Nothobranchius furzeri: one gene and its partner. The main gene of each other region encodes a partner of the protein of the gene in region 2 in a complex. Links are inferred from orthologs where the notes say so. Each region holds a gene or a part of one and is shown on either strand. Other genes may lie near its edges.

Evidence for each region.
Region 1: nod2 (region 2) and map3k20a share a complex: the UniProt entries of both Homo sapiens proteins name them as parts of the signaling complex. The link is inferred for Nothobranchius furzeri from reciprocal best matches to the Homo sapiens genes NOD2 and MAP3K20.

Annotation. Positions count from the first base shown.
Region 1 is NC_091754.1:20,955,486-20,959,676, forward strand, and holds the start of map3k20a (mitogen-activated protein kinase kinase kinase 20), read left to right. Parts: upstream 1-1,331; 5' UTR 1,332-1,481; intron 1,482-4,191. UniProt on the Homo sapiens protein: Stress-activated component of a protein kinase signal transduction cascade that promotes programmed cell death in response to various stress, such as ribosomal stress, osmotic shock and ionizing radiation.
Region 2 is NC_091749.1:70,967,738-70,971,544, reverse strand, and holds the end of nod2 (nucleotide-binding oligomerization domain-containing protein 2), read right to left. Parts: intron 3,185-3,807; coding exon 3,101-3,184; intron 3,036-3,100; coding exon 2,952-3,035; intron 2,875-2,951; coding exon 2,791-2,874; intron 1,407-2,790; coding exon 1,323-1,406; intron 1,207-1,322; coding exon 1,123-1,206; intron 1,031-1,122; coding exon 947-1,030; intron 787-946; coding exon 714-786; 3' UTR 643-713; downstream 1-642. UniProt on the Homo sapiens protein: Pattern recognition receptor (PRR) that detects bacterial peptidoglycan fragments and other danger signals and plays an important role in gastrointestinal immunity.

The sequences.
Region 1 (4,191 bases), on a different chromosome or scaffold from region 2:
TTTTTACCTTCTGATGCTGCTTCTCAACATGACGCATGCTCACGCTGATCTGAGTTTAATCCAAACACAGGCAATCACATGGAGGACCTAATGAGACATCAGATAATGAGATATTGTTTCATTGACTTGTTAAGCCTTTTATTACAGTAATCTGTGATTTTTCAACAACAGTAATTGTTGTGAGATGAAGTACCTCTCACATCGGTGTCATGCAGATATCATATCATCTCCGACTCAAACAGAAGAAAATAAAGCTCTCTGGGTGGTAGGGTTTTCATTTATTAGAGTATTCTTGTAAAATGTAAAAAAATGAAACACTAGGATGCTTTAAAAATGTTAAATATTCATGATGTTCGTTCGTTTTGTATCTTTTTGTATCAAACAATATTTAAACTAATTTATATTAGTAATAAACTTGTACATTTTGTACAGATATTTATCCTGACTTTAGCATGAAGATGATGCAATTTAAGGAGAAATATTTTTAAATTCCTGAGATATTGTAAGCCAGTTAGAAATATTTAGCAGGCATTTGTGTACAATGACACTATTGTTGTATTCTGTTGTGTCATTCTGTCAATATGATGTTTTAGCTCATAGCATGCCAGCTTTTGGACATCTTTATTTGTTAGTAAACAGTTTGAGTGAAATATGTCCTTTTATGGGAACTGGGACAATGAGCATTAAACTGGAACTTTCTAAAAAATCTCAGACTTGTTTCTTCACATGTGTGTAACTAGTTTTATCTGAGTTATTTATTTACCTTTATCTTTAAGAATGGTTTATTATGAGGTTCTCTCGACGTTATTATGGCATGGGTACTTTAAGTGCAAGCACATGTTCTGACTGGTGGAAGGTGTGCTAACTCTGTGGTTTGCCCGGGGTTGCCCCATCATGTGGGTCGTTGGGTTCTTGTCACGTGGTTTATAATAGCCCGGTTATTACAGTTTTGGCTCTCATTACTTGTTGCATGGTGTGTCACGTGACTCACCCCGATTTATATGGAATAGAAGATTAAACTAGAGAGGTAGTCGAAATTTAAGGCTACGTTTCTCTTAAGAGAATCCCTAAATTTTATTTGGGATTAAACTAACTAAATCCCAAATGGGAAAGTCTGGGCGAGCGTGCATGTGAATGCAGTTAGTGACTAGTCAGTCAGTTGCTGTTGTTGCGTCATTGGGCAAGGCACTTAACCCACATTGGCTGCTGGAGGCAGCATTTGATCAGATCTTCCAGCAGGGGGAGCTGTTGTCATCAATTTAGCTCGCAGAGAAATGGGGGCAGTGCAGTTTTTTTTTTTTTTTTTTGCCTCCTCTGCTCCGAGTTGTGCAACTAGTTTAACCAGAACCGGAGATAGTATCAGGAATCAGAAATGAAAGCTCGTCACATGTGACTTTCCGGAACTCTGCTCCCCTTCTGTTTGAAGTTGGTGTCGAACCAGGGTCCGCCGGTTCCGAAGACCTGGAAACTTCTGAATGTCGGTACGTATGTTCTTCAGAAAGAGGACAGCGTGAAAGTGTAAGGGTGGAAATTTAAAGGCATTTTGTGGATTAGGATTATTAGATATGAGTGTGTGGATTATAATCTACAGGACACGTGAAACATATCAGCACCAAAACAGATTTATTGCTGATTCTGAATGTAATTTTATTTCCTCACTGCTGGGCTTTTAGTGATTAACTACTCATTTAGGTCTGATTACAGTAACTACCATGAGCTTTGACACATGGTTGCCAGGTGGGATTACGTTTCCTGCAGCAGTGTTTAATATTAGATGAGAATCAGGCACCTGAGGAGTGCTCCCACATCCCAGTAACACTGGTTTCTTGACTGGTCACACACAATACTGGAGGGGCTGGGCCAATGAGAAAATAGCTTTTGAAGCTAAGTATAGCAGACAGAAGAAAATCAGCAGTAAAAAAGTGGCTCCCCTCTGTGACAATGGAGACATTTCCCACTGTGATGGATAGTAATCCCAATGAAGACGAGGTATAACAGGCTTTTAAAAGCTGTAATTGCTCAGCTGTAAATGGCAAGCCCAGGAACAATAACAGAGCTGCAATTAGCCTCAAATGATGGAATTATTATTATTGTTATTTTTGTATATAAGATGCTTTTATGCTGTTAGAGACCAACAAGATATGTGAAAATCAATCTGACAGCTCCCATCATGAAATGATTGGCCTCAACGTGAGCAGAAAAGCAGAAAAAATAAGGAGAAAACAAGATTTGTGTATTTTTTATATTCAAACATAAATTTTATTTTATTTTCCTGTGTGAGGCCTTAGAGCCAATGAAGTGTTGAATTTACTTAAGTTATGTCAGCTGATTCCCCTTAACCAGTATCAAATGTAAAGGGTAAAATACATTGTTATGTGACGTTAAATTAAAGTAAATGTATATTTTTCTTTGCATTGAAAGAGTAGGTTCAGTGAGAAGACATGTTTTTGAAATATTATTGTTCATCCTAAGTTTAACATGCTTAACCTGCTTACCTGTCGGCGTTAATACAAAGACACGTCCCTTCACGCTCATGCGAGGGTGATGTGTTGGTGGTTCCCCGTGCTACGTATAGATCACGAGGAGGTTGTGCGGTTGCTGTTTTGTCACCTACACTCTGGAGTGAACTGCATTTGAATATTAGACAGGTGCCATCATTGCAGTTTTGTAAGTCATACTTGAAGACGCACTACTGTGTACAAGCCTTTCCAGCACTGGGATCTGTAACATTGCACTAATTTCTTTGAGGACCTTTTTGTGGTTTTTATTTTTTGTATTTTTTTTACAGTTTTTATTGTCTTTTTTATTGACTTTATTGTATGTTCTTATTGGATGCTCTTTTTTTTTCAAATGTTTGTGTTCAGCATCTTGGGCTTCTGCTCAGGTAGTGGAAGGTGCTTAAATAAATGTAATAAATGAAAATGACACAAAACATGCAGGTTTATCGTGATAGTAATCTTCTACCCCTATTTCCTGCAATATCCGCTGAAAGAAAATAGACGTGAAAGCAATCGAGTCAGAAAAAGCCACACAGATGTACGTTACACTGTAAATTGGCATTTATGGACTCACCCACCTTGGATCATAACGGGGAAAGCTGTTGTTTATTTAGCATCCAGGAGAGAGCAGAGCATATCTTGGCTAGTCAACGCTAGCTGTTAGCATTAGCATCTCTACCACACGGCATGACTCCTCCAGGCTTGTGTTATTTGTGGGGATAAAACATCAACGTTGCAGAGCAAACAGTGTCAGTGGTAGAGTCGCATTGCTGTTAGCCAATCAGAGGCGAGATGTCTGAATATCAGGAAATAAGATACCAAATCCTGTCGTGTTCGGCTCAACTCTGATCTGGCTCATTTCTAGGTGGCAGATAGTTGTTAGTTAGTGGCAGAGGAGTTAAAGTAGCTTTCCAGAGTTTTCTCCTTTCAGAAATTATGTATGATTGATCAGAAATCTGTAAAAGTGATTATCTTATCATGTACTGTGAAATAATGTAAGCAATACTTCTTTTTTTTGGCCTAAGCACGCCCCCTGCCCCGCAGAGCTCCATGCAATAGGAAACTGAGCGCCAACCAGAACTAACCAATAGCGTTAGACTACCGCTTCAATGCTTCAAATTTAAGGAATACCTCGGCTGATGCAGAGTCGATGAACTTTTCACGAAAAAGTAAGCCTTCAAAATATAAATATATGAAAACACAACATGACACGAGAATAATACTTGTAAAACAACGTGTTTTAGCTCTGTTTGTCGGCTACAGAAGCACATTTATAAACAAGAAACGCGAAGTCGCCATCTTAATAAAACGGATCGGCAGACTTTTTGTGTGATATACTGGTCAGCCACTAGATGGTGCCATCGGATAAGAGAAATACTCCATGAAGATACTTTTAAGTGGCAACCCCGTAATCGGAAGGTTGCAGGTGTGAGCCCCAGTCAGTCAGTTGCTGTTGTTGTGTCCTTGGGCAAGGCACTTAACCCACATTGGCTGCTGGAGGCAGATGGAGGGACTGGTGGCACCAGCGTTCAGCAGCCTCGCCTCTGTCAGTGTGTCCTAGGATAGCTGTGACCAAATTGGATCACCACCTCCAGAGTGTAAACATGTGCGTGCATGGGTGAATGACCAGTTGTATTGTACAGCACCTTGGGGGGGGGGGGGGGGGGGGGGTTTGTAGGACCTTAGGGGACAC
Region 2 (3,807 bases):
AACAAATGACAAAAAAATCATAAAAATGAGAAAAGCAAAAGATGTGAGGAAAGGGAAAAAGAAAATGAACAAGAAAAGGATCAGTGGATCCCAGGAAAAGCAGAATCAACAGGAAGAGCAGAGCAAAGCTAACTCAGGTGTTTGCTAACCATCAAAATTAGGTGCCGCCCGTCTCGGGGGCGGGCATCTAACCTATGAGAACCCACCCGATTGGCCAAATGGGTGAAGAGCTCTATTTGATTTGTTAAAAAAACGTCATGTGTCGCAAACATTTGAGCTGACCATTCATGATGATATTTATCTGTTCTTTGCGATATGCATATTGCGCGTGCTGATTTCGCGATGACGATATATTTACGATATATTGTGCAGCCCTAGAATAATGGGATTTTATCTTGAGGAGGTGTGATCAGTCAGGGTGAGGGTTAAAAGAAAAATGATGAAAACAGATTCAAACAAAGTGGATTATAAGAATTAAATATGAAATCTTCTAAATTGGAACATTTTTTACTTTAAAAACAGCTTCGTCACTGTTTCATTACCACCCAGAAAAAGATGAAAGCATTTATTTGTTGTGATGCAATTTTTCCCACCAACATGAGATGTATCCCTGTAGATATGGAATCTAATAAAACATAACCGTTCCCACTTAAAAATGTTTATTCTAAGTATTTCCAATACTAAATAGTGACTTCTTTAACAGATTACACAAATCAAAAAATCAGTCTCGGTTCGATTAGCTTCACCTCCTCAACCTCCTCCGAACTGAGGTCATTGTTCTTCAGCCTGCAGAGGATATAAGAAAAATAAATCAACAAGTCAGTGATGGAAAAGTGGAAATGTGTGTTTAAATCCAAAAATAACGTTGACTTTTGCCTCATTGCTCAAAATTTTGAATGCAAACAACCGGCGAGCACATGTTGCACTCGCACACAGCATGGCCTACCAAACGGATTTCATGTGAGTGTTGTGCTTCAGGGCTTGAATCAGGTACTCCACTCCTGCTCTGGTGATGCAGTTCTGTGTCAGCCTTTCGCAGGAGAAACAAAGGCAGCTCAGCTCACTCGGTCAGCAAAATAGCTTTTATGAAAACACAAATGTAATATGCAGCTAAAGACCTACCACAGCTCCTCCAGCGACAGGCTGTTCCGGACGATCCCGGAGAGCGCGCGCGCTCCTGCGTTGCCTACACCGTTACCTACCAGACTAGCATCAGATGCATGTCTGCATTACTTGTAGGATAATCGAATAGAAAACATCTGTTTGGAGCAGCTATTCTGACATGTAAAAAACTCATGCCACAGGTTAAAAGCAAAAATTACCTGAGCCATACAAGAGATTTGCTGTTTTCCAAAGCTCCAGCGATGGCCTCTGCTCCTGCATCTCCTATCTTATTACCCCAAAGCCTTCAAAGACAAGGGAGGAATTATTTAAAACACCTAAAGGTGGGTAGGAATGCTTTTCTGGAACTTTTTATTACGGTATTGCTTGAAATGCTCTTCACATACAAGTGGCAACTAAGAAAAGATGTTTTGTCAGCAAAAGAAATACATTTATTTGCCTCTGATGTGTACATTTTTGGTAAAACCTCATCCAATAATTGTGAATGTACCGTTCTTAATGATCGGTTCCCGATTCATCCATTAAAAGTGCATCCTCCTTCTGCACATATTCCTCTACATGTATGTGCGCAAATTGTGTGTTCTCCACTCGGAGCAGCTGACCGTGAAGCGAAGCCAGAGCCAGGCTGCCTAGTGTATAAGACGGAATCTTCTGTTCTTTTCATTGTTCGCAAATTTAATTTAAGGAGTTGGTTTTTATGTTCTGTTTGGAATCGGGTTCTATTCTTGTTTGGAAACATTTATGTTTATGTTTATTTATTTGGCAGACACGTTTATGCAAAGCGGTGCACAATTGTTAACCTATCGGGCATGTTGTGATCTGTGGGGGAAACTGGAATACCCAGAGGAAACCCACGCATGAATGAGGAGAACACGCAACTCCACGCAGAAAGGCTGCTGCCGGGTTTTGAACTTGCAACCTTCTTGCTGCGAGGCAACAGTGCTAACAGCAGCCCCGTGACGGACCTGTTGTCTGTGAACACAGCCCGTCGTATGTCAGCCGGCAGAGCCATCAGTCATTTTCCTCGGTATCACATGTGCATCGAGAACCGGTGCAACAGAGAGGAAAGAGTTGAGTGAGAGGAGGTTTGAGGCAGGTTCTGGACGTTTCCACCTGTTGTTTGTGGGCTTTTCCCAGAACGCTGATGGCACCGAGCTGCTGTGGTTTTGAAGTTGGGAACAAATTAAGAATGCTAAAAACTGCTCTGTTTTTCACCATAAAAACAGCACACGAGATTAGCAGGCATACAAAACTATCATACGGCAGGGGTGGGGAATCCTAGTCGTCTAGTGCTGCCACCCAGCACGTTTTAGTTGTTTTCCTGTTTTAATGCGCCTCATTCGGCGGTTGAATCCTCTGTTCAGCAACTCGTGAAGCCTCTCAATCACCTGCTGATTAAAATCAGGTGAACAGGGAAACAACTAAAATATGCTGGATAGTGGCCCTTGAGAGACTAGGGGACACCCCGGTTGTACGATTCTAAACTGAACCCTTGAGAAACAACTATTGCGTATTCCTGTATTCTGTAGGCGTGGCTTAAGGGAAAAGGGGGACTGGACCTTTGGACTGTCTATTTAAAAAGAGTAGCTTGCCGGAGCTGCAAGAAAAACATATTTTATTCCACCTTTACAGAAGATGAAGCATGGCATGTCGCAGGAAACTGTTTACCCTAAAAACTTCAGCGAATGATTGCGTCTCAGTCCTTCAGCCAGTCGCTTTGCTCCTTCTGCTGTGATGTTGTTGTTGCCAAGCCTGAAAGGGTGAAAAGGAAATTCTCCATCTGTCTGACTGAACTGTGCCACTCATGTTGTTGGTGACCGTGTGCTGACCTCAAGGACAGGAAACTCTGCTTGGCCTTCAGAAGGTGAGAAATGTGCAGCGTGCTAGCATCAGTTAGCCTGTTGTTGAAGAGACTAGACAGAAACAAGGTGGTCATGGAGGGTAAGTGATGCAGCAGCGTAAATTTGAGGAGACTTACGCAATTTTCTGGAAGTTGTCACAGTGGACAACTTTAGCGGTCAGTCTTCGGATGCCCTCATCTGTGATGTTATTGTTTCTGAGGCTGACGAAGAAACAACATGAATTTCTGGCATTTCTCTGCCTTGAAGTAAAAAATCAGTTAAATGAAAGAATTAAAATCGCCCGCCACCTTTTTCTCATGAGTCAACGCTGCAAGAATTTGCACGATCTCTTAGCACTCCGAATAAGTTTTAGGCAAGGAATCGAATCTTAGCTCAGTGTCTGCCAAATTAACAAGTTACAGCGATTTCATATGTTAAACAGCAAGTCACCCCCTACCAGATTCTTACTCAACTCTTACTTCCTGTTTGAAAAATGCAACAAATGCTGTTGCCTAGCAGACCGAGAGGGCGGAGCTGCTAACAAATACACACACAGGCTCACAACGACATTGTGACATCATATGGTACCAGGTAACATTCTAGGGTACCTCTTAGCCAATAGCAATGGCAGATTTATATTCTAATGCAGTGCTGAGTTTTTACCTGACAACGGCACAACTCTGACAGTTTTAGGCAGAAAATTAAAATTTTTACTAAAATGCACTAAAGTGCAAAAACTACTGACTACACGTGTCTGCAGCACGATTAGACACGCATTTATACAGTTTATCAGGAAAAAAATAGTTGATTTGGGGGTGACTTGCTCTTTAAGGGCCATAATGAT